Linked DNA regions of Drosophila melanogaster. The protein of the gene in region 1 interacts with the protein of each later gene in a pairwise test. Each region holds a gene or a part of one and is shown on either strand. Other genes may lie near its edges.

Region 1 (16,473 bases):
ACCAGGTCTTCTTCGTCCGCTCTTCTCACAACAACAGCTGTAATTATACGGAAAGTATCTACGAACTATATCTCAAATTTAGCTCTTTATAGAAATCAGATACGTGGCTTTAAGACGGATCGTTCCATTGAGGCGGAACAAAAGCGCAATCCCACAATGACCTCCCGACTAAAGAATGCTCTGGCCAACTCGCCCCAGCGTCTGGATGGGGACACACCCCTTCAGGCTGAAAAACTGAGACGGCTGCTGGCCAAATCCGAAGAGCATGGATTTAATAAAGCCGTAGGACGACAGGGTCTCTCAATTGTTAACCGTACTAATGTTTTGTATTCCAGGAGAGCCTGAAAATTGCCTTTGCCGAGGGCTACTTGGCCGCCGCTAACTCGGAGGACTCTCCAAAATCAGGAAAAACTATGAAATATCTGAAGGTACGAGTTTAAATTCATTCAAAGTGTACCATGATTACTTTGAAAACCACAGAAGGCCTTGGTCTTCTTTAGTGTTATAAATAAATTCTAGTAATTGTCACGCAGACTTTGCAGACTATCGTCGTTATCGTCGTGTTCTTGGGCATTTTCCTGAGCTTCTTTACAACCTCCAATGGATCCGTATTTCGGTGAGCCTCCACGTTATTAGTTTTGCTTTACCCATCTGATATGCCTTTCTTTCAGCAGCATACAACTGGGCAACCAGGTTGAAGTGGACCCTGAGGAGATCAACGTCACTTTTGAGGATGTCAAGGGTTGCGACGAAGCCAAGCAGGAGCTCAAGGAGGTCGTTGAATTCCTGAAGAGTCCGGAAAAGTTCTCAAATTTGGGCGGAAAGCTTCCAAAGGGAGTGCTCCTGGTTGGCCCGCCGGGTACTGGCAAAACACTGCTGGCCCGTGCCGTCGCCGGTGAAGCCAAAGTTCCTTTCTTCCATGCTGCCGGACCGGAGTTCGACGAGGTGCTCGTAGGCCAAGGAGCCAGACGAGTGCGTGATCTGTTCAGTAAGTAGATTTCAATTATCCAAAGTGCTCAACTAAACAAGAACATCATCTTGCAGAGGCAGCAAAGGCCCGTGCCCCTTGTGTTATCTTCATTGACGAAATCGACTCGGTGGGCGCCAAGCGAACCAACTCTGTGCTGCATCCTTACGCCAATCAGACCATCAATCAGCTGCTCTCCGAGATGGATGGCTTCCATCAGAACGCTGGCGTCATTGTTTTGGGAGCCACCAATCGTCGCGACGATTTGGATCAGGCTCTGCTGCGTCCCGGCCGATTTGATGTAGAAGTCATGGTGTCGACGCCCGATTTCACTGGACGTAAGGAGATATTGTCTCTGTATCTGACGAAGATTTTGCACGATGAAATAGACTTGGACATGCTGGCGCGCGGCACCTCTGGTTTTACTGGAGCGGATCTGGAAAACATGATTAACCAAGCGGCGTTAAGGTAAGGAATAACTTGTGTTGTATTATTCAATCACAATTTTGAAGAGCGGTACTAATAATTCTAACATTTTGGCAGAGCTGCCATCGATGGAGCCGAAACGGTCAGCATGAAGCATTTGGAAACGGCACGAGACAAAGTACTTATGGGACCCGAGCGCAAGGCTCGTCTACCGGACGAGGAGGCCAACACCATAACCGCTTACCACGAGGGCGGCCACGCGATTGTGGCCTTCTACACCAAGGAGTCGCATCCGCTGCACAAGGTGACCATCATGCCCCGCGGACCCTCCCTTGGACACACCGCCTACATACCGGAGAAGGAGCGTTACCATGTCACAAAGGCACAGCTGCTGGCCATGATGGACACCATGATGGGCGGTCGTGCTGCTGAGGAACTGGTCTTCGGCACGGACAAGATTACGTCGGGAGCCAGCAGTGATCTCAAGCAGGCAACCTCGATCGCGACGCATATGGTCAGGGACTGGGGCATGTCGGACAAGGTCGGTCTTCGCACCATCGAGGCGTCAAAGGGTCTGGGCACCGGTGACACCCTTGGTCCCAACACCATTGAAGCCGTGGACGCGGAGATCAAGCGCATCCTCAGCGACAGCTACGAGCGGGCGAAGGCTATCCTGCGAAAACACACCAGGGAGCACAAAGCGCTTGCGGAGGCGCTTCTCAAGTACGAGACTCTTGACGCCGACGACATCAAGGCAATACTGAATGAAAGCCAGACGTAGTTCCCCCATCGGTGTGGTTTGATGGTGTTCAAGGATCCAATTGGAAGGCCGGGTTGGTCTGCCACCGGACATTCAGCTGAACTGCTAAATATTTTTAGTTACAATATACATATATAAAAAACCGGAGAAAAAAACCAAGCAAGAGCGAGACGCAGACGGACAGTTAAGAAATAAAATGTTACACATATTCAGTTATGTTTTCCATCATTCACGTTAGAATTAAATATTAGTTTGAGTAATAAATTAATTTGAAGTGGAATCCACATATTGTTTGCGCGCCCATATCGATGTGACCAGACTACTGCAACCTATGTTAGAAACCATTTTCTAGAACTTAAGTTATAAATATATTTTCAATGTTAAAGACATAATTAACAAATATAGTTTTGATCACATTTTTTGTGGAATCCATTCCATGCTCATCCATTTTAGTATTTTTCATTGTATATTTGACGTTTGCGGTATATTTGAACAGCTGCGTCGCGGTCACACTTTCTAGCTGTCGAATTTCCAATTCATGTTTTATTTTTTGCCGAATAAATTGAGATAATATTCTGAGAAAATGTGCGACTACAAGGTCTCGGAGCGGGCGTACGCCAAGTTGATATTCCACGCGGCCAAGTATCCACACCAGGCGGTCAACGGACTCTTGCTGGCCGAGAAGACATCGAAGGGCTCCCAAGTGGAAATCGTGGATGCGATTCCGCTTTTCCACCAGTGCCTGTATGTCACCCCCATGGCGGAGGTGGCCCTCATGCTGGTAATTACCAATTGCCCTTCCTAAACTCACATCACGAGGGGCTCGGTGCATTTGTGTCCGGACAGCAATGTGGTGCGCCCCATAATGGAACTATTATGGCTTCAATTTGTATCTAGATCCTCGCACCCTGGCCAAACACTCCGCTATCCAAAAGATATATAACTATTCTAACTTATTGCGGCTGCATAGTTATCCAGTGTTGTGCTTAGAACAGAAAGGTTTATGTTCCAAGCGATCTTTATTTAGTAAAATGTACCTTGTACCCCACGATGGTATTTTAATATTAGCATATCAAATTCAAAAACTAGTGTCACACCACTTTTACCCTGTTAGAAGTTTATTACCCAAATTAAACTAGCAGTCTTAAAGCATTGAAGTTGTGAAGACTGAATTAAATTTAAAAGCCGATAAGGTTGTACCATTGTTTAAATTAAAACATTTTATAAAATAACGATAATAATACATTACCTTACACTTTCAGATCGATGCCCACGCCGAACGGGAAGGATTAGTAATCGCAGGCTACTACGCAGCACCGGAGAACTTCTACGACAACCAGGTCGACAAGACCCCAGCCGCCAAGATAGCTGACAAGATCCAGGAGAACTTCAAGAACGCCTGCTTTGTGGTGGTGGACAACAAACTGATGACGCTGCAGCACGACCGAGCCGCCATCCAGGTATTCAACTGTCCCGGAGACTCTGGAGCAAGGTGGTCAAAGGCCAAGTTTACGCTCTCACAGGCGTCCGATACATTGGAAGGCGTGTCGCTGCTGCTGAAGCGCGGAGCCATGCGGGATTTGGTTGACTTTGACAACCATCTAGATAATCCGGACAAAAACTGGACCAACGACTTCCTGAATCAGCCGCTCAACGATCTGCAGAAACTGTACTAGTCGTCCGTTTCAAACGTACGTTTTTTTTTTAGTCTAGCAAAATCGCATTCGAGGGAACATGCCGGAATTTCAACCTTGCAATTTAATTTATTGTAATTACATTTGGATTTCAGTAATCTTTAGAATAATGCATATAAGTTAAATAACATTCAACTAATTAATAAATAATCAATTCTTTCATCATGTTTTGAGTCAAATGTTGTCTGCAGTCCGAGTCCGTCTGTTGGTGCACCTATTGTAATATCCTTTTTAAGTCCGGTCCGGTCCGGTTCTGTTCTGTTTATTGTGTTGAGTAAACCTAAGCGCGTTACAATTATCGTTAATAAATACAGATGAATAATATGTATATAATTTTGCTTTTGGTTTGTCTGGCTTGTAAATTGAAATATTTTACAATAATATTGTAATATCGCGATTGCTGATTATACATAGGTATACATAATACGTACTTATGTGGATATATCGGAGATCGAAAGTATCGCAAAAACGTTTATTTATATAATTTCAGTGTATTGTATATTTTCATATTATCTGATCGAACGCATAACGAACTCTTTACACCGTACACTAAACGTATAGGGGACCGGGACTACGAATCACTGATCACGGATCTCTGATCACCAACGGGATGCCATCCTGAGCACCTTACTCGTATTTGATTTGCCAGTTATATGCTATATGCTTCTGTAGTTCTGTGTATAAGGAGTATGCTTTGGGCTTGTATATAATATCTTTTGCTTGATTGAGTTATGTCTCTTGTTGGTTATTTTTCACCCAGTGTCCGCTGGAAGGGATGGGCAGGTGTGGGTGTGGCTGTGGTCGTGGTCGTGGGCATGACATGGGGGAATCTGTTCTACGTGGGGCGCCTTTTGATTATATCCTAGCTATACAAGAGCGCCTGAACACGCAAGCATAATCAGTATGTAAGAGTATGAGGCATATTTCGCTCGGACTCTTTCTCAGTCCACATCGTGATATATCTGGGTTGGTGTGTCTTGTGTTCCGTCACCACATGCTATGTTAGTTGATCTATAAGAATGCAATAGAGAAGTCATGTATCAGTGGGATGCTGTGGGGGAATGGCTAGGGAAGAACACCCAAACGAAAGATGCACTGCAATTTGGAAAACTCTAGTAGTGTACGATTCTACATGGACGTGTGCGAGTCTAACTCTGTGTGTGATGGGGGTGGAGCTGTCTAGGTGTGGAGGTGTCGTGGGTGCAGCGGTACGGGACGTATCTATGTGTGCTGGGGATCGTGTCTAGAGTCGGTCTCCTCTGATATTTACCATTCCCGCGGACAGAGAGTTGATGGCCTCTTCCACCGTCGGCTTGTGTCGATCGATTTTAGATGAGTTTATGGGCGAGAAGTTGTCTACGATTGCAAGCGTGAACGAATACACATATACAGATAGATATAGAAACACAAAAAGCGATTTCAAAGCAAATCTCAAGTGCCAATTACCGAGATCACCACTCGAACTGGAGTCCGTAAAACTTGGTGTGCCCTCTGTCCATGTGGGAGTGGAGCCCTCACCTGAAGCGGGCGGGGTCCAGGCCAATCCGCCGCGGGATCCGTACTGGCTGCTCGACGACGTGTCCACCGCCAGTAATGTATCCAGATGGACTTCCGAAACGCTAGTTAAACAATAAATCAATTTGTTACAAATGGGTATTTCCACTCGACGGCGGGATAGCTTAGATGGCTAACATACATAAGCATTAATACCTCACAATGTCCTCCTTGTAGGAGCCTCGATAGGCGGGTCCAATGTTCATCTTGCGATCCAGATAGTAGGACTGCTGATGCTGCTGCGACTGCTGGTGATGGTGGTGATGATGATGAGACCGGCGACCTATCGACGAGCTGCTGTTCTTGTTCGAGCTGTCCTCGGAGATGTCGTCAAAGGCGGGGGGAGGAGTCGAGCTGCATGAGGGCGTTGTGCCTAGCAATACAATGAGCAGAGCAAAATATACAACGGAATGAGTGGCAGAAGTAGACAGTAGTAATAAAAGGTAGCTGGGTAATGGTGTAGTGTGGCTGGGTAAGCGAGGTGCAAGCGAGTAGCTAATCCCGTCCCTGTCCGCGTCCAGTCGATCCCTGAGTGCCGTCGCTCTCGGGTATCGTGGAGGGCGCTGCCTTGGGCGCTCGTCTCTTGCCCCGTCTGATCTGCTGTCCAGGAGGACTCCTCGCAGGCTCTACGACCGGGTCGGGAAGCGTAAGCTTGGGTAGAGGTCTTCTAGGACGCTGTGTCGCCTCCAGTTCTCGTTTGACCTCCAAAAAAGCACTGACCGACTGCAGGAGATTATCCTCCTCCGGCTGGTTCTCGCAATCCTCGCCACCGAGCGCCAAATCCACGTAGTGAAAGTAACGCTTCCGCCTCTGATGTCGCTGCAGCTTCTCTTGAATCCCTCGCCTAGGAGAATGCTGGCTGTGAATACTGCCCGAGGATCGGGAACGTCCCGTACGATAGCTTTCCGCTCTGATCGGCGGAAAGCTCCGAACTATGGAGCCCACCGATGACCGATCACTGCGCGCCACAAAGCTGTTCTTGCGCTGAAAGATGTCCACGTGGTTGAGGAGTCTTGGCTGCTGGCGCCGGAAGCTACTTTCTGATCGAGCCGTGGAGTAGGCGGAGTGCAGGGAATCCCGGCGCCGCAGCGAAGAACTTCTCAGTAGAGTAACCGTTGGGTCTGCCAGAGGAGCAGGCGGTGCATATGGACCATATGGACCACTGTCCGGACCATCGAAGAGATCATGCAGCTCCAACCAATCCTGGACATTGCTAGGCGAACGGCGATCCCCGAATCGCGGAATGCCCTCGTTCGCTGGCACCTGAAGGGTGTGGGTATGTGCTGGTGCCGGGTTGGGATTAGTGGTGTGCGGTTCTGTACCTGGAGTCGTCCGATCCTGGGCATCCTTGCGCCGTGGCGAGCCGCGTGGCGGTACTGGCGGTGGCACTCGCGTCTTCAGATTACTGGCCGCCGGCGTACGCTGCTTGACGGGCGGTGGTGCCCGTTCACTGGCGCCACTGGTGGTTGCTGGACCTAGGGCAGTTGCTCCTCTTTCGGCTCCACCTGCCGCTCCCGCTGGCGTGGGCTCGGTGGTGGGCGGCTTGGCTGGCTGGTGAATCTTGCCACTGCTGTGCGAGTGCGAGGCGTGAACCGCTGAGCAAATTATAATAGGTTTAGGAATCGAAAGAGTGTTTTAGAACAAGTTGTAGTCGTGGTTAGTATACATTAATTTTTAGAGTGATTAACTTACGCCTGGAGGCCACCTCGTTGTCGCTGTCAATGGAGCGCTGAATAGCCTTGGAAAGGCTTTTTCTCTTCGAAGGCGAATGCTTAAGCGCTGCAAAAATGATGGAAATGCAGTAATTAGTTGCGGAACGCATAAATTTGTTTCGATCAAAAGAAAAAGTTCAAAAAGCATAGCACTTCCAAAGCAACTATGCGAAGCCAAGAGCAATACGGTTGCCAGGATGCCAAGGATGCCAAGGATGCCGAGGATGCCAGGGATGTGAGATCAACTAACGTGAGATTGAGAGGCATGCTTTGGCGTCCGTTTCGAAATCATATAAAACCAAGTGGTGAATACAAAACATCGTTAATAAACACTATAAAATACTCGTTAAGAAAGGTGTAAGTAAAGAAAGTGAGAGATAATCAAAAGTTAAAGGACATCGACCATTCGTTTGTTTACCTATATAGCTGGTCACCAAGGTACGAAATTTTCTGTGATTCCCCTTGATCTCTGGGAGATCCACTATATGCGTACGTAAGAGTGGGTGATTGCATTCGAGACATGGCCATAAAAGAAAGCAGAGAACAGAGCGGTTTGTTGGTGGATATTGATTTGATGTAGAGATATGTATATAGGTATCTCTTCAAATCGGCGTCTACTCAGGCCAAGTGTACCATATTGCATTTTTGCTGCACATCGATCGATTAACCAACATTAGCAAGCTACGAGTGTCTAAATGGTGTTCGGTGTGTTCGAATGTAAATGGTGTGAAAGTGTCTATGGCTAACTATCTACTCAAAAATGTCGGAAACCGGAACCGGAACCGGAACTGAGTGCTTGCATAACTCGGCCAACTGCACACAAAAATGCCTTACAGTACGAGTACTTAGCCCGACTTCCACGACCGGTCCACTTACGGGAGGGTATCTTGCGGAACACGGTCTTGGCCATAAAGTTTTGGAATCTTTGAGCATAGAACGAGGGCCGGCAGACCGATACGGTTTCCTGCAAGAGTATATATCAGTGGCAAATTCTTGCTAGAATCATCAGTCTTACCCCATCGTGTATGATGCTTTTGAATGTGTGCTCCAGCTTCTTCTTCAGCCTGTAGGATTGCAGGATGTCGATAATGCCGATGTAGAGCAGCAGGCGCTCGCCCTTCTCACTCCTTGCTGGAATGCCACCAGGTCTGGAATTGGGTTAGGTCGTCGCATGTAAGCTCGGAAAAATATATGGAACTGAAACTGAGGCACTCACGGCACATCCTCCTCGTCGTCGATGGGTTCACTCTCCGCCTGAATGCTCTCCATGGCCGTGGAGTGGGCAACCAGCCGCTGGCGATTCACTGACCTGTATGCCGCACTGGGTTAGATCTTTAGATTGCCCGAAGGCTTGGCAGCAAGCTGAGATACTCACTTATTCCTGCTGATGCCTGTGGCCGCATCGCCGTCCAGCGGATCGTCTGCATCCACATCGGAGTCCTCGGCCAGCGGAGCCCTAAGCGGTTTTCTCTGCTCACTCTGCTTCTCCTTTAGCGCCACGTCCAGATTGTGGACGCCGAGGAGCAGCGAGTAGTCCATGATTTTGAAGGACTCCAGCACCGTGCAGTCGCGCTGAATGGTCTTGATCAGCGCGGCGTAGGTCTCGGCCTCCAGGAATATGCCGTTGGGATGCTGCTCCATGAAGTCGAGGTCCTTGTACGTGGGCGACTTCTTGGCACGCTCCGCCTTGTTGGCCTTGCGCTTGAACGTGGAGCCCTTGAGGTCGTACTTGAGGTGCATCTTTACGGACGAGGGCAGCAGATTGTTCATGACCACCAGGCGAATATTTTTGGCATTGCTCGTCTGCAGGCAGTACAATCCGAAGAACTTTGGCAATAGCGTGCGCGGATTTTGATTTAGATTCATATAGTAACTGAAATGCAGATAACACTTTTTAAATAGGTCTTCTTGCAAAGATTTGTTCGGGTTACCCACCCAGGCAGTAGTTTCTGTAAGAATTCACCCTCCTTGTGTTGCACCGTCTTTATGATGAACTCGTCGTCGGTCGTCAGGTAGAATATAGAGCCGGAAGCACCAGGATTGGACAGTTCCCGCAGCGGGGACGTGCACATGGACATCTGAAAGTATGGACCATCAGTATCTGCCGACTTGGAACGGTCGCCCACTCACCATAAAATCATCTGGTTGGATGCCAAACAGATCCCGAAAGTAGCGAAACGCTATGGGCGCATAGATCTTGTATCTGAACTCGCTGTAATGGTGGGCAGGTGTAAGGCTAGAACCCTCTGGTGGAAAGGTGATGCTCTCGATTTCCCAGAAGTCCATCATAAGTAGATCACGCTTGGGCTTCGAGGCCAGACTGCCGACCTGCGAAGGATATTTCAAGATTACTAAGTAGATGGAAAAAGCCAAGATATACAAGATATGTCATACGAATCAAGCTTGGGTCAATCTTGTAACCCCGCCCTGAGTTCATTGAAATGTTTGGAAATAGTGCTAGTAAAACATGCAAGCTCCAGTACTTAAGGCTATGAATGTTTCTTACAGTGTGCTGGATTCCCAGTTGGATGGAGCCCATGATCTGCGACGTCTGGATCTTTTTGTACGTAATCTCGCCGCCCTCGCCGACGCGTCTGTGGCCAATCTTGCGCTCCTTGTCCGCCTTGCTGGACGCTCGGTTCGGTCGGTTGCCCAGCTGGACGGATGAATGGTTGGTTAGTTGGTTGGTTGGGAGTGAAAGTAATTGACCCGATTAGTTTGGATGGGAGTGACCTCGAGGTCAAGGCGGATGTACTTACGTCGGGCGATGAGTTTCCCACATGGTCGGTGGAGGCTAAAGAAAGACGGACAGAGTTCATTATTAGGAGTCATGTTTAATTCAGGCCATGACGCAGTCGCCTGGTCAATCACCGCAACTTGAACTTGGACAGGACACTCTCCCTCCAGTCGCGTGTGACTTTCTTTTGTTATCAATCCCAAAATATAAATAGGAGCCGATGGAAGTCCGTTTGACAAGTGCGGGGGTGGATTCACACTCACGCTTCCTCCCTTCGCGCGAGACACATGCGCCAGGGGCATTTCCATTCGACAGTCATTGATTTTTTTCACGCTGCGAAAAGTGACGGGGTCTGTGGATAATAGTTACCATTGCTGGGCTCGGCCAGTTTGGCCTGAGACGCCGAGGAGCTGTCCATGTCGATGGTGTTGATGGTGTCGCCATCGCCGGAGGCCATCGTGCAGCTCCTGCTCTGCTATCGTATTCTCTTCTCTTCTCTGCACTCTTCCCACGTCTAGGACTTCACTAGGACATGCTGGCTGGCTGGGATTGTGGACTTGGGCTATTCGAGGGCTGCTTTCACGTTTTCCGATCCTCGGCGATTATCCAATCGAGTGGGCTAACTGGGTGGCAGGAACCTTGGCTCTCGTCTGGCGCTGGCGTCAACGTTTCTGCTGTCTACGGTGATGGTGATGTTGATGGCTCCTCTGCCACTGCTGTCATTTTCACTGCATACTCATAGGCACACTGGAAGGCTGGAAGGTCGGCAGGGCTGGAAGGGTGTGCGCAGGAACAGGCACGCAGGGTTGCATTCACAGTCAGACGGTGAAGCGGAGCATCCGCACTGTTGTAAAATCCGCAAATAGCAATGTTTTTAAAGCTTATAAGCCTTTGACGCGTGGAAATATAATATACAAACATAAAAATAGTAAATAATAATTTATGTTAATAAATTTTATAACACCCTGTGGCCCTGTAACGCCCACATGATTAAAACGAATTATTAAAAACAAACTTCATTTAAACCAATCCATAGATGCCATAAACAAAAGTAATTTGGATTTAATTAGTCATGCTGAGACTTTTTTTTATTATATGTGTGACTTGAGTCCAATCTACAGCGTAATTTTACAATAAAAATACAATTTTAAAATTTGTTTAGTTTTTTAGCAAAGAAAAACGACGACGAAGGCGGTTGGTTTAATGCACTTTTAATGTTTCTTTTCGTATTTTTTTTATTAGCGTTTCTGTACTCAATTAGACCTATACATCGTATATAACTATCATATATATTTTATTTATGTGGTAAATATATGAATACAAGAATTTCTTGTTATGCTTTACTGTTGTCCTTTTTGTCTTTATGGGTTCGTTTGCTTACGCATTGTGGTGTTTGTTTTTGTTTTGTGTTTCGTTATCCTTACAAATACATGCATGTACAAAATAAGCGCTTTTTTTTAAAAATACCGCAAAAAATTACGTTTATCCGTTAAAAGTCTATTAAAAATTAAGGAGTATCAAAGTTCCTAGTCCAAACATAAAAACGAATGTAGCCTACATAAAAAGGACACTACCAAACTAACTGCTTAGAGCTAAGGATGCGATGGACATGACTACGGCGACCGTTGTCCACTTGCGTTGTATAGTTGAGGCCTTATCTGTAAAGAAGAAAATATTAGATTATGTATTCAATTTTGTTAACTTTAAAACTAGGTTTTCTATAAGGATGGAGAAACGGACAGATGTTAAAAATTTCAAACAAATCTAGCTTACTACTTTAATGCTATGATGCATGAATGAATAACTTGTCCTTATAAGCAAAGTGTTATCCAGGCTTACCTGTACTTACCATAGAAAATAGTCTCCCGGCGCTTGGTGTAGTTGGTGCCAACTAGGATAAACGCACAGGTGATTGGGGTGGGGGACTCGAGTTGATCTCTAGGAATGCGGGTGCGAACGGTCATGCTGTAGAGGCCACTGGGGTCCTGGTCCAACTGCGTCAGTACCGAGTCCAGTATGTGGGTGTCAAACCTGCGGAGGGAACGATTAGGTCCTTGCGCTATTGGATTTCACCGGCCTTAAATTGCCGGGGACAGTGGATCCTCTTACATGACAGACAGCATGGGTTGCGGGAAGACGTGCTGGACCGCACACATGATGTCCACGTCCATACGCGAACCGCTCATCCGCGCTTCCAGCATGAAATCCGATTCAGGAACTGTCGCAATTGGAGCAGATTGGACGAAGGGTGTGTGGTGGAGCCGGCGGACAGGAGCCGAAAGACAAAAAGTCGTGAGAATTAATCAAGTGTCAAACTAAACAACGAAACAAAACAATACCAAGCAAAACAGTGTCCCAAAGAAAAGCACAAAACAGCACAAACAAGCCGTGGTTCCGGACACCGCAGAGACTGCCACATGACACGCATGCAAATATGAAAGCGAATCACACGTGCCACACAGACGGCGCCCAGCACCTGCACTAGCAAAAAAAAGTACTGACCCTAGCATTTAAAAGGGGAACTCGATTGGGAACGCCCTGACTAAGCCAATTACAGTTGTCCTACAGCACTGAAAACAACTTCAGATACTAACTAAGATTAAAATATTCAAACCGTAGTTATGGATATATATATATATAGCTAACAAAGTTGCTTTAAAACAAAATAGAAAGTAATATCATGAAATATAATAGAATATAAGTTCCTTAAAAAGGTACGTTGAAAATTTAAATTAGAATTGCCCAGGCACAAGATGATATGCGAGAGAATGAATGCTAATAGTGGGACAGAATAAAGGCCAGCGCATTAGAGTAAGGCTTTCTCGGCTTTTGTTAATGGCTTTTAAGTACATAAATCATAATTTTTGTCTCCCTGTGTAAACACCGACACGAGAACACCTATGCAAACACCCTGGTGGCGGGGGCCAAGTCAAGATGGGGGCGGGTGCAGGTTACCCGGCAGAACCAGAGGCAGAACCACCACCTTAGACCTTTCGACCCCCACCACCACCTGCTACCCATTCCCATTCCCATCGCCACCGCACATCTTTCACCGCCGATCCTTTTTCTTTTGGCCGTGGTCGTGACACCCACCGATTATTTGCAGGCGGGCACTCCGCTTATCCGTGGACTCGAAGGTCTGCACTGCACAGGTGTACTCCCCCGTCATGTTCCAGTCGGGATTCTTTATCGATATAACACCGGGACTGCCCTCCATAGTGAATATTTTGGTGTCTATCTTCGACTTCATGAAGCCCTACAGGCGCAAGAACAAGAACAAATCGAAGACAAAGACAGAGTTCGATTAATCTTAATTAATTCGGTGCGACCAAAGACCCCGAGTGACTCACCATGGCGAACCCCTTGACCGATGGTATCCACTGGTAGATGGAGTGGTTATTGAACAGCCATTTGAGGACGAATCCTTGCTCCCGCGGCCCGATCTCCACCTCGCAGTCGAGCACCAGAGGATCGGGTTCGTGGTCTCGGAACAGCGTGTAGGTGCGTGGCACCCGCAGGTTGGTGATGCGCACCGAGTGAGTGACTATGCGGCATGGGGGCGGAGTAGGAGGAGTACAGGATTAGTTTGGAGGAACCCAAAAAGGATGTATGCGAGAACTGCTCACCCGAGAGTAACGCGAGCACGGCCAGCAGCGTGGCGCGTAGGCCTCGTCCTCGCCAGCCCGCCATGACAGCCGACTAGTTTGCCTCAGCGTCGCTGGGCACTCCAGATCCTGTCGCTCGTGATCCTCCCGTTCCGCGAGGACGCGCCGTCGTTGTGCGTGGCAATGAATACTTCTGTGGTGGTTGGACGTTTCTACTTATCGCGGTGCTGTCTGTTTTCGGCTTGCGCTTTTATGTGGATACATGGGGGCCTTTGGTTGCACTCATTATCACCAATCTCATCACAGAAGCAGAATGGCAGGGGGATGCTTTTTTCTGGGGATACGGGCACTGACTGGCACAAACTTTTCTCGGCCCAACGAGCTCAGCACCTCGGACGCAGCAGCTCCTCGCAGGACATCTCCCACTGCAAGTCGCAACTATGGCAATCTCCTTTTATGGCCCGGGCCATTTAAAGTTTTGCCCACACAGGACAGGATACTTTTTGTTAGCGAAAAATCGACTTTTTGCAGCCCACATACACGAACATCTACGGCTGCGATAGTGTGTGCGTGCGGAATGGAGTCCGCGGGGGCGAACTGTGCCAAAAGTGGAGTTCGTACTCTCGGCGTAGCGCGTGAGTTCTGCTGGCGGATACCAATAGTTGGTGTTGGTATCTTCGGCGGCACACTGTTGTCCCGCTGCCAGGCGCAGCTTTTCATGTTTTAACACTGGAAGCCAACGGGACGCTCGTGGGAGAGCGGAGCTTTCGTTTGGTAGCGCCGAACTCCACGGCGTTCTATGGCGGCACAACTACGTCCTGCGCCAAATCAGCTGAGCGATGGTCACTGCGCAGGCGCTAAAGCTGAACTGATTTCCAGGCAGGGGTGCCACACCTGGACAGGTTTGCTGGGCGGTAAATTCAAATAACTCGGGGTGTTTTATTGCAAACAAAAGGTAACAAAACGTCGAAAAGAGGGATCCCTTTAAGGATATTATTACAAGGAAGAGAGTGGCCACATATAATAATATAATTATAAAAATAATACAATATTACAGGTATCAATAGGATTAAAAATTAATATTTAGTATACTACAAACATATTAGTAACATGCTGTAGTAGCTGTAGTAACAACACGTATATCGGTACCTACCAGTCAAACATGTATCCGTGTAAACTATTATTATGTTGTTGTTTATTCAATTTTCAATAACATCAGCAAAAATCTTAGTCTAATTTATAGTTAATAGTGTTCCTCTTGCTTGGATGTGTTACAGTTACACGCAGACGCACACGCACACACATACACATGATTAGTACTTGCATGGTAGATATAGGTCTAGAACCTGAAATCCCGACTCCAGACCCCAAGAATTCGTGTTAAAAGTATACTATAGACGTGCGATGCTTCAGATTTACATAGATATTACGCGCAGATATATGTTTAGTACGTAAGTGGACTGGCAACTATAGCGTTGACTTCGATTTGGTCGCATTTAAAAACTCGTGTGCTGGCTCCTACATCCTACGGATACACCTACTGATCACTACTTGCTGCTCGGATTGGATTCCTGGGGATTGCTGGTGGTGGTGTTAGTGGGCTGTTAAAACGTGCTTAGATCGAAACTGAAATCACCGTTCAATGGACTGTACACAAGCCAATTGGTTCAAGCGAGTGGGAATCCCGCCTAGTCGCTGGTCTCCTCCTGGCTGCCACCGCGATGCAGGTGGTGGCCAATCAGCGTCTCGATGCGAAAGTCCTTGGCGCTGCTCTGTTTGCTGGTCCGCAGAACCAGGGGCTCGCTATCGAAGCGTCTCCTTGGACTTGAATCGGACGCCTCGGCAGAAGCCTCAAAGATCAACGCTTCCGGCGGCGCATCCAGGCGATTTGTACAGGCGCTGTCCACCGAGTCCGAGATATGTGAGTCCTCCTGCTCATTGCCGCTCTCCACGTCGATCTTGTCCTCGCATGAGTCGTCATCTCCCTCGGCTTCCGCATCGGCCTCTGTGTCCGCATCGTCATTGTACACATTGAGATCCATGTAACCACCGCCGGCGGACAGTCGTTCTGCGTAATCCCTGTGGCCGGGAATGCCCGCAGCACTGGCCACAGTCGCCACATCGAAGGCGTATGGGCTTTTGTACTTGGAGCCACGGCTGCTCTCGGATCCCCCGCCCACTCCTCCGCCGGAGCCACTGCTGTGCGGTAGTGCATCCAGGACATCCGCTCCTCGACCGCGATTCATGAAGGGCAGCCGGTCGAACTTGTCCCCCGACTGACTTCCCTGGTAGAAGGATGCTTCGGCATTCGCAAAGAAGTTAAACTTCTTGTCCGCTCGCAGCGCTGAGTCAAAGACATCCGCCGGATTGTGGACCACGTCGAACTCCCTGCTCCCATTGAAGTTGGGCACGTTGAAATGCACTGGCACGAGGGGCACGGGCTTGCGTATCCAAAATGGAGACAGCGTGCCAAAGACCGCCGGAAACGAGAAGCGTTGCATGGTGGGCGCCCGTTTGTAGCGCTTCCGCCGGCGCAGGAAACTGCCGTTGTCGAACATGTCCTCCGCCAGCGGGTCCAGCGTCCAGAAGTTGCCCTTTCCGGGATTTCCCGGCTCGCGGGGCACCTTTATGAAGCAGTCGTTCAGGCTGAGATTGTGCCGGATGGAGTTCTGCCAGGCGGGGAATTTGTCCTTGTAGTATGGAAAGCTACAAGTAAAATGCACAAGTTATTTAACATTTTTTCGAGGAATTTTTTTTAAAGAATTTGGTTGTTTATCTAGATCACTTACATTGCAATCAGTAAATAAAATATCACATTTTAAAATTTATAATTTTTGAAATCGATTAAAGCACTGAATGTCTCTTCTTTTCTATGTTTTCAATTGAAATTTTATAGGATTTATTTATTTTTATCGTCTTTACAAACTACTACTTTTATTCTCTTTTTCTGATGTTTTAAGATAACTTGGAAAAAATCAAACTATTGCTTCTTCATTTAAGGATATTAACTTTGCTGGC
Region 2 (17,775 bases), on another chromosome or scaffold:
GGGACTTGCAGAGATACAGATGGGGTGCACAGAAAAAAAATTGGCATTAAAGGATAAATCAACAGACAAAAGAGTGCTTCTGGTTTTAACCATGCTACTAAATATTAATTTGTTACCTTTTCAGAACCATTTGATCTTAATATGCCTTGCAGTTTCTTTCAGTGTATGTACTGGGCTCTCGTTACTTCCTCGCTTAATGCAACTTCAAGTGTGGTCGCAATTGTCGTCGGCATTCTGGAGTCAGAGGCTGGAACTCGATGGTGGGAGGTCGTTTGGTCAGCACGCATGATTTATTCCGCAGGCCACTTGAACACATTGTGCCCCCCAACCCAGATCGTCTCTCCTCCCATCACCTCATTCCGCAACTCCCAATGGAATGACCCCCACATTATGCACTTTTCGTCATTCTCAACAAGGGGCGCTGATTGACAAGCGCAATGCAGTCGCGGGAGTTCGAAATGGAGACAGTGAATGACGAACCTTCTTAGTACAGTGGGAGAAATATAAAAGAACTCGTAAATCACTAGACTTAAAATGTAACCTTATACTCGAAGTCCTTATCTTTCCGTGAGACATGAGTCCAATCAGGATCATTTATCACGCTGCAGTCAAAATGCTTTGTTCGTTAATTTATTATTAATGATAGCTCAGAAATCGCTGTTGACGACAGATAAATTAATTTATTTTCGCATAAGAATTACACTTTAAAATATTTGGAATTTTATTTAAAAAGCAAATTGTTTTAAAGGTATATAATTTAGCATTGAGAAAAGTGAATGCCATTGTTTTATGTATGTGACATATCATTCAACGTCTTGCTTGATATGCTATCCATCATACACTTTATATTTAGCCCAGCTGAGCCCTGCTGACTCACTGAACCGCGTCATATGGTAATTTCTCGGAGTGTACACATTAGAGCAATGCGCATTTTGCATAACTCCGCACCCTCAGCCCACTAAAAGCATACGCACGGAGGGTTAAAACGGTTCCGAATGGGTAACCCGCTAATCCTCTGCGCCTGTCATAAACATTGACATTGATGTGGATGATGGTGATGCGTTGGCGATGACGATGATGACGATGTTCCCGGCATCTCAGTTCCAGTTCCCCTTTCCCGGGTCCGTTTGTGCCACTGACAACTGACAAGTGGGCGTGGTGGGGTCGAGGAACTGCCCAACTATGCGAAGTGCCCGGGAAACCGAGTACCCGACTAACCCCCCGCCACGATTCGTTTCGCTCCACAAACTGTGGAATCGCCGGGCTCATTCCGGCGTATGCCCTTTAACGAGTGTATTCGTCATTCGGGCGGACGGACAGACAGTTGACATTCATTTGAAACGTTTGTAAGGGTGGGGGGAGATATGAAAAAAAAAAGGATACTTCGAAGGGGGTGCTCACTGTACAGTGGCAACCACAGCGGCAGCTACGGCGCATGTCAATCATTAAACTGTCATTTTCAGTCGATTTAACTAGCATTAAAAATCGCACACAATTGCCAGGATTTATGCATTGTGCGTAAGCTGTCATAAATTTCACTGAGTGCCAGCTTTTGCTCGCCCTCTCTGTTTTCCCTTTTGGGGAATTTATCCTTAAGCTGGCCTAATTTTTTATGGCCTGCAAACTAATTTTTATTCATTTGCTCAGCCACCAAAACTAAGCGCGCAAATTTATTTTAATACCCTCACGAACCAAAACCACTAACCGAAACCAACAAAAAAAAAAAAAAAAGAAATGCTGATGAAAATGCGCCACATTTAAAAGAGAAAATCTTTAATTTTCATCTGGGACAATCTCGGCTGCCATTAACCAAAAAAGAAAGCGATGGTAGCGGGCCAAATGGCTGACAGACAGGACATTCGTCCATTGCAGGCGCAGAAAATGCTGTATCCCGAAATTATGGAAATTTATTAATCACATAAATTTAAAGCATAATGTGCGTAAGTGGGCCGACAGTCGCTCCTCGTTAATGGCTCCCAGAGCGACAAAAACGACGGACGCGGCATAAAAATTGCGTTAGGGGCCCCAAACTTCTATAAGATGTCGTTGCCTTATTTGCCTTGGGGTCCTTGGCCAGGTTTTTACGGGCTTAAAACAAACTTTGTGGTGGCCGAAGTAAAATTCCGTGGTTTCGTTCGGCAGGAAGGAAGAGAAAGCACTTCCTGTTGATGTGTAAGCAAATATTTTTGGCCAAATTGCTGGAAAGTGATTTTTTCAGAGGGAGATTCAATCAACAAAGTTGTGTGAGCAAGGTAATATTGGGACACTTTATGAAAATGGTGTAAAATAATTTGATGTCAAACAAGCCAAGCTTTCTTTAATCTGAAAAATTAAAAACAACTGTTATCGTATATCTTCAAAAAGCTTACAATTTAGTAAATGTAAATGTTTAGTAAATATTAAATGTCTCCTGACTAAAACTTCCCATTGTTGATCATAATTTCATTACCTTCTTACCGGAAGTTCTACAGGTAATTTATGCACTGTCTTTGTCGGCGACACTTCCTTTTCAGAATTATCGGAATGGCTTAAACAAGCTCTAAAGCAAGTCCCAAAACAAAGTGCCAACATGTGTTGCACTTAACAAAGAGGGGACCCTATCTGTTCACCCTTTTGAATCCACAACTGCAGCACACGCGCCTTGTAAGCCCTTTTGACACACCAGTAGTAGGGATAGAACCTCTCCTCTTTCCTCAACGGGAACGTAAAATTCGCCAAAACAGCACGTGTTGGTTGGTAAATGGACTCCAGATACTCAGAACACTGGGGGGAGTTTCCACAGCTCCTGGTTTTCCATCGAGTGCTGACATTTAAAGTAGCTGCCAGCGTTGAAGTGACAAAACTAAAGATAAGACTCAATCACGTGTAGCTGACACTGACAATCGCTGCTGAGGGAAAAAAGGCGAGCGAACCGAAAGGAAAACTCGCCAGCAACAAAATAGAAAATCAATTTCCACGTTTTAAGCAAATGTGTGGGTGGAATATATCGAGGCGGCAACTGCAAGCAGTTGCTTTGAATTCCATATGGGAGGAAGGGAGCATTAGAGAAAGGCGAGTGGAGAAAGTGGAAAGAGGTGGGGCGGCGAATGAAGAGTGACATGCAGACAAAACGCGGGGGGACAAAGAAGGTGTCACTAGCAGGGACAGGATAAATGTGCACAACACCGACAGACAGGAAAAAAGAGCTGTCAGGCGAAGGACAAGGAACGGGCAGGATTTTCATATAGAGAGAAAAATATATATTAATCTTAGAATGATCTATTTGTGTTTGAAAGTATATAAATCTCATATATACAGAAAACTAGGCTTGTAAATCCGAAAAAATCCGAAATATAGGTGAAAATGGCCTAGGATCAGAAAATGAATGACTTAATTTCCTTTTTTCTCTGTGCAGCCGTAGTAGTTGGGCTAGTGCCGAGGACACTTTTGGCATGTTTAGCTTGTTTATCATGTCAGTTGTATGCTGCTACCGGAATTGGCAGCATTAACTGGGAAAAAGCGACAGGAGAACGAGGAGGGAACATCACATGGCCATGACCATCGAGATAATGCAAGTTGCTACTTGGTTGCCATGCCGCTTCTATCTCGCCCCTCTGATCTTTCCCAGCTTCCGCTTAACGACTTTATTTGCCCAACTTGGGCAAATGTAAACGCCGAGGAAAAGCAACGGCTCTGTCTACGTCTGTGATGCTCCAAGCTAACAAATAAACAAACCCAGGCACACGAAACCAAACAGAAACTGAAACTAAACCAAACCAAACGCAAGAAAACCACAAATAGATCTTACGGATACCTGATAAGCTTCAGATACGAGATGGGCACTGTGGTAGAAGTACTGAAAGATACTTTAAGATCGGTATTGAAAATATTGATAACTTTTTCAATGAAATGTACTTCACATTTGTTTTTGTGCGTAGTTTTAAGAAATTGTAATTCAATACGTTACTATTTTACATATGCAGATTCTAGGAAATATTAAACGGAAAATCAATATTATGGCAGGCAAGCGGTTTTGTTTTCATCGACAACTCGTTTGTTTGTGTTCGCCTTAAACTAATCTATTTAACTAACTACTTTTCGGCGGAGCCCTTCTGCGTATTAAGCCAAATCGCCTTGGGTTTGGCCACTTCGAAGCCACTGTGGCAGCTACTTCCTTAAGAGCTAAGCAGTTTGGAGCGGCAGCAGCTCGCTTTTTGTTGCAGTTGCAGGCGGGCAAACATCACGTGTGCCTCTTAGAATCCTTGTGGCCTGTGTGTGTATGCGTATTGGTGCTGCATACACATTACCATTGTGTGTGCAGGTGAAACTGTGCTGCTGCTGTGCGTGTGCATGCGTTGGTCTCACTGTTGTCACTGCAAAAACAATGCACTCGACGGCGACGAGGACAGCATCAACATGCATAAAATAAATTTTCATTCGCATTTTATTTGTTTTAAGCTGCGACTTTACACAAAGCCAACAAAGTGCCAGCCGACCGCCATCTGTGTTTGTCGGTGTGAGTGGTTGGTTATAGCCCGACCGGATATGGCCTCGGATATTGAAAAGTTGTTCCTGGTCTTTTGCCAAACGAAGAAGTCATAAAACCGAATATTGTGTTTTTAAAGTGACAGCAGTTGGAAATTAAGTTCTTGACTTTTATGTTCGTTCGCCGCAAGTTCGGAATTATTGATATGGACTTTGCTAACTGAGTTTATCCCCAAGGTAAAAGCACAAAGGTGGCATTTAAATGCATTTTACAATGTGTGAGCACTGAAAGTGGCAGTCGTTTATGGGATTGCATTTGGAAAAGGCAATGGCAGCGAGAATCCGCACTCTGTGATTGTTTCTCTTCTCTGACACAATGTAATTCCATCATCGATGGGCTGCACACATGGGGGAAAAACTAATTGGCTTTTGGTGGCGCTGGCTGTGTAATCCCATCAGCATTCGTCGCAAGTTTTGACTCGTAATCACATTAAAAGTATGTCACACTTCTGACTTACTGTCAGCGATGGTGTTTTCCTATTAATTTAAAACCATTTCTTGCGGGCTGTATGTTATGGAGATGCGTTCTTTCTTGCCACAAAGACGGACAGCTGACAAACACATGCGAACGTGGGCAAGTGTCGTCGCCACACGTTTTGCATTAGGAATGCCTTTGCTGGGTCGCAGTTCCCTTCGGCTTGAATTCGATTTTAATGGGTATGGGGTAGCCGTGGAGAATTGAAAAAAGTCAGCATGCGGTTTGCGTCACTGTGTCTGCCATGAAGTCTTCGCTTTGTGTTTCTGCCACGACCTCAAGCTGTGCGCCTGCGCTCTAAACTGCCGTCTTTGCAATGGACTGGCCTAATTCATTTGTAAACGTCTTTAGGTTATGCGACACATATGTGATGGTTAGGGATGGGATAGTGATGGGGTATGGCTACTACGCAGAAAAAAGAAACAAGGATCTGGAATTTTAAAAATGTTGAATTTTATATAATATTAATATATATATGCTATTTTTTTTATATCACGCTTAACAAAATATGTGTTTTAGCCTTAATCCTTACACTTTATCACATCTATCTATATCATACCTATTCAAAGTCCAGCACGTTCCATAAACTATCGCCGCTCGGTAGTCCACCGCTAGTCACGCACATAGATATAGACCGTTAGTCGGCGGGCGGTACCTGGTACCAGCGGGCGGCAAAAAAAATAATGTGGGGAGGGGTCGGCGAAGTGTCGCTGCACACGCCCCTTGACACTTTATATTTTTTTCCTCTTCCTGAGACTGTGGGTCGCGTGAATTCTGGGTAATTACAATTTATGGTGACGCAGTTTCTCAAACGATTCTAGCATTTCCAATTCCATTCCTATTCCCATTTCGACCGGTTGAAGTGGCACCCGCAGTGCGTGTTTGTATTGCTTTTGAATCGAAACTCGATTGCGAAACAAAGGTCGAAATGTGGAGTGGCACTTGAGAGAGGGTTTCTATGCCGTTCTAGTTGCATTCCACGAACCAATAAGTAATAGTTGTGTTTTTTGTTCTTTGGCAACAAAGGAGCTCGAGAGCACCTTGCCATTAGCCAGCCCAGGGTTTCCTTTTCATGTCTGTCTAGAAAGGAGCGCTCTTAGACACTTCGTCTGCTTGGGGAGATCATTATGTATACATATATGTGCACCCTCCATCGATATGGTTACATCATCATGCGGGCAGTTGTCTTTAATTCCCATGTAACAAACAATTAAAAGAAGGCAGGCAGCGCAATATTCGGAAAAAAATTCGCCATGCATTTTCTGGCGGCGTAACGCTTCAGTGGATTAAATTAAATTCCAAGAGGGATTCACCCCAATTCCATGGGAATGAAATCCACACATACAACTCAATTAAGCTCGCTGGCAAGGGAAAAACTTAATTTTATACTTAATTGCAGCATAAACGGGGCGTGGGTGCGCGGGGTCATCGGAAAATGGTGGCGGCTAGGGAAATCAATTTTAGCCTCCGTTTGATCCTTGAAGCATATGCCCCCCGTCAATTGATAAGCAATTTTCCAATTCGCCTACAATTTCCATTTTAATAGAAAAATCCCACGCAACACGATGAACAAAAATTTCGCACTGCCAAACTGCCAAATATGATGAAAGGCCGGGTGGTGGGCGTTAAATGAAAAATGGGCGTGTTCAGCTATGTATAAAGCCAAATTCAATATACAAATTCAAATCATTCAATTATCTGCGGCTCAACGCGAAGCTCCATGGCTTTTTGCAGCGAGGGGAAAAAGTTGAATCAATTTGGCAATTGAATTTCATGGAAAGTTAGGGGCAAGCGAGTGGGAGGACTTAAACAAGTAAAATAAATGGCATTTATCAGAAACAAATCAAATTTCCGCTCGTAATGTAAGCAAAACGAGGAAAAGATACAAGAAAGATAAACAGAAATTGGCAACCAGAAGTTGGGTTTCCTTTAAATGGTTAGGCAAAGGATAAAAGCCGATAGATAAATTTGGAACTTTTCTTAACCACCTGTTTTCCCTTTTTCTTCGTGAAATATGCAAGAAAAAAAGCCTTTTTAGGCTTTTAAAATACATAATAAAATCCATAAAGGATAGAAAATGTTTGACGTAAGCCGGCGTACAACTGTGAAATGCAAATTTCAATCCGCAAAGTTTTATTCTTTTAAATTCTTTTCTGACAACTTTTTCAATAAATATATTTCTGCCAAATCAACTCAGCTCACCTGTCCCAACATTTTTCTCCATTTTTCGCGTATTCCATTTCAATTTACAGCCATTAAATCAACGCTGACTGGGGAATATACTAGTATCTATGTATATATACACGCGGATATATGCTACTAAACAATGCTGTAAATAAACAATAAAATGGATGGCATATAAAAAGAAGATTGCACGCCGGCGCTTACAGACGGAAAATCACGAAATATCCACGCGAGTTTCCATTTTTCTTAGTTGATTTTTCCTCCTTTTATTAGTCCTTTTTATACGTGTGCACGTATCGCCGTGTATCTATGAGAAATACGAGATTCCAATTTGGTACACGGCATTGGATTACATGACAACGACTTTCCACTCACTGCCGTTAATGAGTTCAACTTCGCATCGCTGACTTTTCGATTTATCCATAGGTTCTTCATTTGTGAGTTTTGAGTGTTCAGTTTCAAATTTTGCAGCTGGATTCGGACTGCTTTAAGATGCCGCCACGCCCTGCAACATGCGGTTTTGTTTGGGCTTCTTGGCCAGGTCAATCTACTGCTCGCAAAACCGCAACATGTCGCTGCTGCTTGTGGGTGTGAGCTGGGCTACTGTATCTAAATCCGTATCTGTATCTCTGTTTCTCAGTATCTCAGTATCCGCATCTGCCCATCTGCATCTCCATGCCGAGTAGTCAGTGTATCCTTAGCTAAGCCTCAGCTTAATGCGCTTGCATAAACAATGGACGACCCTCCGTATCTTCATCTCATCTCCGCATCTGTAAGCGGATTTGCCCTAATGTCATTCGACAGTCCTTTCTCCTTTTCAGATGTTTACCGGCCCTCTTTTAAGTCTCTGAAAAGTATGCACTGCTAAACGGTCGCATAATTAGATCAGCTTCGGATTTCAAACTAGTGGATGTTTGGGCGCATCAAAGGTTGCCACCGGCAAAAATCGTAATAAAATCTTATCAAATTCATGGCAGTAGGAAATGAGAAACCGTTAGCTTATGAGAAAATCAAGTTGTCACGACAACCATGCACATATGGCAGTTCTTTGAGGATTCGATTGGCAAGCCAACCACCAGTTGAATGCAGACTGGAAAGGTCCTGTCCCACTCCAGACATCCACATTCCGAGGAAATCCAGCGCATGCGCTGTTGTGGATGCCAAGTTTCGTGGCAGGATACCAAGTTTCGGGCTTAGCACAAAAATGCCAGCACATGGGGCCAGGATAAACAGTTCCTTGCGCGCTTTCAACTGCAAAGGTTGCCCCAAAAAGGCACCTAACCGTATACAACTGGCAGATGCCCAAAACTTCAACATTGTCCGAAATTCGTCGAAAGTCATAAAAACTTAACAAATCCCCCAGTTTAGCACAAAGGGTCGTTTAACTTTTAACGACGCGACGGGGTAATTTTATTGCCAGAGTCGTGGCCCGATAACAGTGATAACAAAGTAGCCGCGTTAACCAAAAAAGTTTCACACTTTCCGTGCTCGAAATCAAAAGACGTAATCGTAAAACGCGGCCAAGTGTTGCGATTTATGAGTTCACAATCGTAATTGAATTTTATGCGAAAACTTTGGCCAGTTTTCCTTTGGATTATTGTGGCAATAAGACGAAAACGCAAATAAAGGTCGTGAACATAACGAAAATTGCCGCCAAAAATTGATACTAAGGTGAGTGGGACACACGACAAATTTCATTATTGGCTCCACATCCTAAATATCCTTTGGATATACAAGTCTTGTTTGTTGGTCAATTTGGGTTTATTTTATCCCTTTGTTGGGATCAAAGTCGGCCCTTTGCATCCTTGACAAACAGTGTTAAAAAGGTCAGTAGCCTTGACTTGAAAGAATTGCATAGGCTCTTGTTTCGCTTCGCTGCCTCCGGTCCTTTCATCTTCTCTATATAATTATTCGCAGAGAGTTTTCCCCCCTCTGCATTTTGCCACCTTTTGGCACTTTGGCTGCACATCAAAATGCATTGCAAACTTTTGCCACGAAAGCTGCTACACTTTCTGGCCTCGTTCGGCTTAAAGTTATCAGCGGCAAATGGGGGTGCAACGGGCTCCAAGGATAGGAATCAACTTTTTTCGGGGTGTCGCCGTACTTCTTGGGGCAGACTTCCTGTTAAGCTGTCAACATGTTTGGAGTGAAGTGTATCAGCTTTTCCGAAAAACTTTAAATTCCTCGGGGCGTTGAAATGCACGCGAGCATGCCCGAGAAAAACGTTTCGGTGTGAATAAAGTAATATAAAACTATGCCAATTCAATGGAATGTACTGCTCTTGAAAGACTGCTTTTAAAGACCTTTTTTTATTAAAGAAACCTTTTGGTTTTCTCTGAATTCAGCAATGAGATTTCGTTGATAAGAATATGATCTTTACTTTTATAAATACTGATTTTTTAGGATATGGTAAAACTTAAAGCAATGCTAGCAGTTTAAAAGAAGGAATCCAATCAGAACGCGTCCGTTAAAAACTGTTGTCGATTTTATGGCACGATTATAAAGAAGCGCCCAAGTCGAATTACTTGCCACAGCACACTTTTGGGGTTAATATGAAGTTCTGCTGCATTAAAAAGCACTGCGGAAATTAATGAAGATAAACCCCTGGACAAACTTTGGCAATCCACTGGCTTACACTTAAATCTGTGGCATAAAAATGCACTTAAATGCAGTCACAAAATAAGATACACAAGGCCACCGCAGCGTCCTTCCACCGCCCCACGCCCACCACGTTTTCCGAACCCCTCGCCAAGCCAGCAACATTTTCCTTGAAAAGCGTCGCCAAGGAAATGTCAAGCGGCGGTTTGTTGGCCGCAGTCGCATTCGTATTCGCAGTCGACACTTCCGCAGCGGCGACAGGTGCTGCCTGTCAGCTGCATACGAACCGCGAATTTTTCACCTCACCACCCACCGCTTTTCCGCGACACTTTTCCCTCGCCGCTCTTGGCCGTGTCAAGTTAATCAGCAAGCCATGGTTTCTGCTCTCCTTTTTTTCGGTGGCTTTTCAGCATTCCATCTTTGTTTTTTTCGGTTGTGGGAAAAAAAAAATTTCACGCCCGCAACGAAAACTTTTCATTTTCAACAAGCGAGTGAGCGAGCGTTAATAAGGTATAAAAAAAGTTAGGGGAAAAAAGGCGGAATAGCAGCCTCAGACAAAAGAGCCTCATAAAAATGGAGCTTGTTTGTTTGAGCTAGAAGCGACTGCTGCTCCTACTTCTATTTTTCCCCATTTTTCTCCCTTTTTCCTGAAAACCCGTTTATTTGTTAAAGTTTGCTGGTGTTGCTCTTGGCAGTGACTTTGGCTTCTGGCTCTTGTCAAGTAGCTAAAGACAACAAAACAGAGTCTAAATGAAAATCTGCTTTTATTCCACTCACTGGCACATACGTACACGAATGAAAAAGAGTTGTCATATACAGATTTGATAAACTATAAAAAAGGGATTTAATTTTTTTATTCAGGAAATGTATGAATTTAAGTTTTGCACTTCATTTAATAAATTTCGTTATTAAGTCAACCTGTGGCTTCTTATTCAAAACGTATTTGTTGGCCTAAAGTGTACTGTAAAATAGTATTTTGTAGTAGCTTAAATCACTGTTGAAACTTATTAAAGGATCCTCGTTTTTTTCGGTGCATAAGCGCCTTGTACATGTGCCATAATTCACACTGCTGCTCAGCAAGCGGTACAACGAAAGGCTTTTAGGAGTTGTCTCATTTTTCCGCACTCTTTCACTCCTTGAACGCCTACGCCACGCCCACCTGCTGTCGCCCGGCATCGTTGACATTTTCATTCATCGTCTTGGCAACCGTAATTAAAATCGTTTTAATTTACTTTTGCCTCACACACACACACCCGCACACACTCGCACACAAATACAAGCAAACACATGCAAGCCCACGCCTTCCGTTTCCTGTGGAAAGTGTAGCACACTTATCAGCGCTTGTCTGCGTTGCCTGGTTTATGTTTATCGACTTTTGTTTAGCGGCTGATGCTGTTGCTTTTCTGCTGCTGTTATTATTTCAGTCTCTGCCCGCCGGCGGTATCCTTACCGCTTCCCCCCTCCATGCCTCTCTCCGCCACCATCGCCCTACTCATTATGTGGGCGTGCAAATTGCTGCATATTCATTTACCGTTATCTCTTTCTTGTCAAGTAAAACACACATTTTACTACAACAACAGCTGCTGCTCCGGCTGCCTCCTTCACAGCCTAGCCACGCCCCCATCCGCCACGGATAGTAACCATTGCCATCATTCTCCGCCCACTCCTCCATGTTCTTAATAACATAAACTTCTTTTCTCTCAGCGCCCGAGTTGAGTTAATGAAGAATTTCCATGACGATGTCGTTGCCCGTGAGCCCGTTATTTCACTGCGAAAATATTTACAGAAATTCATAACTTCATGTATTATATGGATTTTAAAGAAAAATGATTTCCTAAATAAACATTCAAGAATTGAAAGAAAAACATCAATGCTAAGGTTCCAATTAAGTAGTTATAAAATATTTATATTATCTTAAAAGTACTTATTTTTTCGAGTGCCAAAGCATATCTTTTTGTATCAATCTTTTGATACCACTCCTGCCACCTGCTCTGGCTCATTATATTGTTGCCTTTCGTCGAGGATGGGGATGTTCAAGTTGCCTGGGCAACAACAAAACGTCTACAAATTTGCCAGTCGCTCAGCCGCTTCAGTTGGCTTGAAGCGTATTAATTTTGCTCATAAAATGATTCCCGATAAGATTTGATCTGTGTTTGCCTTGAGACTCCTTCGCTAACCCATAGAATTTGCCAGCCTTTTGAAGTTGACTGCGCACTTGAGGAGAATGGCGAACGTTCTGTGCGGATGATTCGGAGTATGAGGTATTCACCTTTGGCTTAGTAATGAAAATTCTGCGACGGCATCATCGTCGTCGTAAGCCGCTTAAAATTGCCGAGATGATGTGTGCATATGAGTAAAATCTCTGGGGCTTAGTTGGCCCGCTATCAAAACACTCGGCAGCACTTCAAGCGGCTCGGCAACATTTCGGCACCAAAATTGCCATTTCAATGTTGCCAGCAACATGGCGCTCACACATACACATGCATATTCACGGCACATCGCTTCTGTGGGCTTGTGTCTGTGTGCGATACACCCACACACGGAGAATATTTCGGAACAGGCGCTCAGCCACGAGTGTTGGCGAACACGCACTTCGCAGAGATATTCACCCACACACGAGCACAGAATGCAGACTCACTCACTCACAGACACACTCACAACTACGTACACGTACGCACTAAGCAGGCAAACAAAATCGTCCTGGAAGTTGCCAAAGCAACGAAAAAAGCGAGAAAGCCGAGCAAAGTAAGACACTCTTTTTCGAGGACGGTGGTGGGAAGGGAGGGCAGCGGCTGGTTGAACGGGGCCAAACAAAAGCGAGATAAATAAGGAGCACACCGTACACCAACACACACACTCACACACATAGCAAGAGAAGCATCAGACATTGAAACTGTTTTCAGGAGTGTTTGTGTGTGTGAGTCGTAAAACGGTCGCGGCCTGCAGTTGAGTCCTGTCTTAAGGGCCAAAAGAGAGGCTGCTTTATGGTCATTCCCCCATCGTTTCAACCACGCTGTTGTTGTTAATTTTGACGCTGGCATAATAAAGTTGATAAAGCAGCCGCAATGCTGCCTTTGAAGATTTCGTATTTCGCCAGCACCGAAAAGTAGGCAATTATAATTTGCATACAAATGCACGCAGGAATAAGTCGTATTTCCTTTTTTTTTTTTTTTTTTTTTTTTATAGCCCACGCTGGGGATATTTATGATGTTTTTATTATTTGATCAACGCACTGTTACCCATGCGGCAACTTAATTTGATCTGCTTAAATTATTTTATTTTACAATGTGTCTTGGTTACTTAAGACTAACAGATTTTTAATCCTAAAAATGATAGGGAGAATTATAATAGTTGATATAACATAGTAATTATTATTTATTTGATTATTCTAATGAATTTTAAAACTAAGACTTTCTAGGTCAAAACCAGGTTAGGGAGGTCATGAGGGTGGTGTCGCTTGAGTCTTCTTTTGACTCTAGTCCGAGGGTCAGCATTGACCACAGCTGCAGTTCCTAGCTTCCTTGCTAGGCTGTTGGGGTGTACATTAAGCCTTTCCATATATTTTTGGGCGATGTTCTGGAGCTTGTCTTATATAAGATACCCTGGGAGATAGATGCGCTGACCAACTCGCATGTGTGTTTCCGTGGTAAGCATTACGTCTATATCGTGATCGCTGAGGAATATCCGAAGCTCCTCAGAGCCCCTTGTTAATCCGCGAGCGTATCACAATCCGATTTTTAAGGTTGGTTGAGTCATTTAGGAATACGTGTAATTAGAACCTGAACCAGTTCTCTGAAAGCTTTATTAGCCTCTACAGTTTCGTGTATAAGCTTAAATAGTTCGTCCATTCTCGTATTGATGGCCCGAATGGAGTTGTCTAACGTCATAAATTTATTGTTAAGGCTATTGTCCGACGTTGGTATAACTTCAGCCTGCACAGTAGCACGAGCCCTAGATTGAGTCGTGTTGCGTCGAGCAATATCAGCATAAGAGATGTTGGTTCTTAATGCCTCAGCTGGTATGTAACCGCTTGAAGAACGTTGTGGAGGTTTGAGTGTGGCAATATTATTAGTCATCGGTAGCCTGGACCTTGGTTTTAGCTTCTTGGCTTTCTCTGCTCTGACAGGGCAGCTTTTGTCTGTCGAGACATGATCACCACCACAATTTATACACAGACATACGTCACTTATGCACAAAGCGGACCCGGTCATATGGGGACCACTACATTTACCACAAATAGGATCCTGGGCGCAATAGTTCTTAGAGTGTCCAAAAATTTGGCATCTTTGACATTGTAGCAGTTCTTTTCTACGTGTAGCGCGCTCAACAGTGACTCTGTATCTGCCAAGTCGAGTTATCTTAAGAGACTCTTTAACATTCGGGCCTTGTTTAAGATTAATATAAAACAAATTTTGTCTAGTTTTGAAGTTTTTTGTAGCTTCATTATCATCTTCGTTTACCTGAATGTTCTTCCAGTCAGACTTTCTGGGGCAATAGATATTAAGGACCTCATAGCCGTGATCACTAAATGCTTGTTCTATCTGCGAACTAGGAACATTAGCATGGATTCCTTTAAGCACTACTCTGTAGGGTTTTTCTTCTTTAAGTTGGTGATGCCAGAATTGACAATTTAACTTATTTAGTACTTTTACAGCGGTGCGGAAAGCATCAGGGTTGGCTGTATAGATTCTGGATACACCAAATCTAGAGGTGCGGATGTAGTAGTTTGAGGAGCCAATACTCAGATTAAGAGCCCGTTCCAAGGTGACCGGATCACTTACACTTGGTACGCATATGGCTGGGGGTTTGCTATATTTAGCGGATTGTCCACCACCATCTCGGGCAGCAGAGTCTTCAATGTCAGAATCAGCATCCGACACGTCTTGCTCCATATTCTCCGCTTCAGCAGACAAAAGCGCGAAGCGATTGTTATTTAATGCTGCTGCAGTGGAGGTAGAGGCCTCCTCATTGAGTGGCATAGTGGCCTGCCTTTTAGTTTTACGGCTTGGAGAAGGGGTGAGGATAGGTAATGGGGGCTGAGACACGCCTTTTCGTTTCCTGTTGACAGTACGATCATGTGCTTGAAAGGGGCATTTCGCTTTAGATGGCTTATTGGGCAGTGATGACAGAGGTGTCGGGAGTCCATTGTCATAAGGCGTAGTTGGGCAAATGCTAGTGGTCACGGTTGTGCAATCAGTGTATGTAGGAGTACAGATCATGTTGGCCTGTACGTTAGAAATAGTGCAGGTAACACTTGCATTGGTGTTGCTGCTGATTGTCACCATTAAGCTGGAGACCGTAGATTGAGTTGGCATACCTTCCAGGTTAGGGGAAACAACTGCACAGCTGGCGCGGAGTTGGGAGCGTAATTCTCCTGGCTCAACACCTGCTACTTTCCTCATTTTCTCAAATTTATCGCACCCATTGCTAGGTCGCGATTGAGCAAATGAATTCTCCATTATATCAATTGTCTTTATACTTATGCCGTATAATGCAATTGATATTTACTAAACACGATAAGATTTACCGGTTTACTTGTAAGGTAAATTGTAACAACCTCCCGCTTGCGCAGCGCGCAGGGCGAGGGGCAAAAACAACACAGCTTAGAAATTGCTAGTTGCTGATAAGTTTCGCGAACCGAAGCCGTCACCGTTATGCAGTGACTAAAAATAGATTTTGTTTGTGAGATAAGCACACGATCTGCGCAAATGTTTGTGATGGATCACAATTACGTTTTTGTTTTATCCGCGACTTCTGTGAACACGTCCACTCGATTGCTCATCTCACATGCGACTGTGTATTTCCTTGTAATACGTAATATTAAAATAGTAATAATAGGGTTTAAAGAAAACAAAAATCATACATAAATATCGTGAAATATTTTAAGAGTATTTATAACTACTAAAATACGGTATCTTGGGATGTGCGACTATTTAAATTGCAAGTGAAAATTCATGATATGGATGCCTGACTGTTTATGAGTATTCCAGTGTGTGCTGTGTGGGGCTCATACAATAAATCCCCCTGTTCTCCTGCATCCCAGTAATGAATGACAGCTGAGGAGCAACTGCCTGTCTTCGTTTCTGCTAGGACTGCAAAAAAGCGTGTCAAATAACTGGGACACCCGGAGTGCGAAAAGGAAAGGACGCAAAGTAGTAGATAGGGACATCAGCTGCCTGCCTAAGCGTCAGTCATAAAACAAATGAGCCTTCAACATGAGTTCGTCATTTGTTTGCCACCCATTCCCTTTGGCGGGATTTTAAAGGAGCAATTTATGAAAAGCCCTTTGCAGCTGGAGACAAATATTTCGGCGGGGAGGCATATAAACTATGCACTCGAAATTTGCCGCCTGATTACAGAGCCGAAACAATGGAATGTCATAAAGGGAACGAGCAGGGAGTGTATATATGTAGATATCTACACTCAAGGACCTCAAACTCCGTCTGGCCGTAAAATGCAGAAAGTAACACAAAGTAAAACAGAGTCGGGATCTCTGGAGGTTTTAGTTCGTGTCTGCTGGCATTGCAAGGCGCAGGTTTCCCACTGCCGGCTTTTACGATCCTTGTAATTAATGCATACCTTGAGGATATATTACGAGCCATGGTCTGGTCGCAGTCTGGCCAAAGGGAATGGCCGAAGATAAACTTAAGATGAATCTGCTGCAACAAAGAAAATCAAAACAGAGTTCGCAGCAGGTACGCAAAGCAGTGTGACTGACGTTTTAATAACTTGCAACAGTTTATGAAATATATTTTTCTATCCCGAGCAAAACAGAACTTGCTTGCTTGGCTATTCATTTTCAAGTGCGAGCATGAAAATGAAAGAGGCAACTCGAGTGCTGCCAAAAAGTCAACGAACAATAAGTCTAAAAGTCATGCCAGGACTACGAAATACCCCGACTTCCCATGTTGGCCCCTGGCAACTGACTGACTTATGCACTATGCATGCACACGAGTTGCCAACTCTTGCCGCCTTTCTCACTGTGTCAGTACCTCTATTTTATTTTTCAGGCTGGCACAAAACAAATGTAGCTTCGAAATTTAACTAACATTGTTGTAGTCTGACATGGCTTCCTTTTTAGGCAAGCGCTTTGCAGTCAAGATGGCAGGACATTCCGGCCAACTTCTTGCAGAAACTACTTCCGGCAGAAAAAACATTTTCTTTTTCGTCGGAAAATAAAACTCTTTCAAGGTCTCCAGACAGCATAAGAGTATTTGTAGTTCGTTAGGGGATCACCCCTTTTTTTCTGCAGTTTAAGCCTGCTTCCTTTTCGTGCTCAGTTCTTTTGAAACACAGGAGTATCCGTTGTATCAAACACGATGATAGTACTCGGATAATCACAGATATGATTGAATTCTAGCATCCGTATCATTTTAATAAAATCAAAACCTTATTTAAATCCCCGAAAACAGGATATGTGGAAGTCTCATCGAAATCCTCCTAGCCTGTTTTACTCTGCGTATTGTAGCCTTTTGTCCTTCACACTTCGCTGCATCTGGGCCTGTGTAACTTGTGTTACTCTCGACACTGCAGCACAGTTTTAATTTTTATTTTCATTTTTATTCGGGAAAACACTCCGACTGCGTCTGGCACTGCAACTGAGATGCCCCAATACGCTTTAATGCAATGACATTAATTTATGAGCCAGGGTCGAAGTTAAGCTCCGTTTCAGCCATTTCAGTCACTCTCTAACTCATTTATTCAGTCGGGACTGGTGACTTTGGACTGCAGAATGAAGACTGAGCACTCGATTCGGCAGCATTCACACGCCTCGTCGCGCTGGCACTTAAGTAATTTCAACTTGCAAACAAACACCCCGGAAAAGTCGCTCCCGCAGCCATGGCAAATGTCAAAGTAGTTGTTAACATTTCCGCTTTTTCGCACGGCTTTTCTCTGTCCCGGTTTTTCTCCATATTTAGATGCGAGGGAGGGAAGGGCGGCGAAAAGTTTTCCAACCAAATTGCAAGCCACAAGGAATGCAGTCGAGTAAAGCT

What was found.
Region 2: the proteins of EMC8-9 (region 1) and PVRAP interact in a two-hybrid assay, tested with the Drosophila melanogaster proteins (one large-scale study listed by BioGRID).

What each region holds. Positions count from the first base shown.
Region 1 is NT_033778.4:22,868,863-22,885,335, reverse strand, and holds EMC8-9 (ER membrane protein complex subunit 8/9), read left to right. Parts: upstream 1-2,645; 5' UTR 2,646-2,736; coding exon 2,737-2,934; intron 2,935-3,415; coding exon 3,416-3,829; 3' UTR 3,830-4,014; downstream 4,015-16,473. Other genes in the region: YME1L (YME1 like ATPase), read left to right, coding at 1-39, 93-282, 336-428, 534-616, 672-988, 1,045-1,435, 1,511-2,174; PIP5K59B (phosphatidylinositol 4-phosphate 5-kinase 59B), read right to left, coding at 5,897-6,996, 7,094-7,180, 7,532-7,594, 7,990-8,077, 8,129-8,261, 8,330-8,422, 8,489-8,986, 9,049-9,191 and 4 more; CG13532 (uncharacterized protein), read right to left, coding at 11,429-11,508, 11,700-11,881, 11,960-12,068, 12,944-13,106, 13,201-13,394, 13,477-13,540; fd59A (forkhead domain 59A), read right to left, coding at 15,144-16,161. UniProt on the Drosophila melanogaster protein: Part of the endoplasmic reticulum membrane protein complex (EMC) that enables the energy-independent insertion into endoplasmic reticulum membranes of newly synthesized multi-pass membrane proteins like rhodopsins.
Region 2 is NT_037436.4:5,988,800-6,006,574, forward strand, and holds the start of PVRAP (PVR adaptor protein), read left to right. Parts: upstream 1-8,408; 5' UTR 8,409-8,854; intron 8,855-17,775.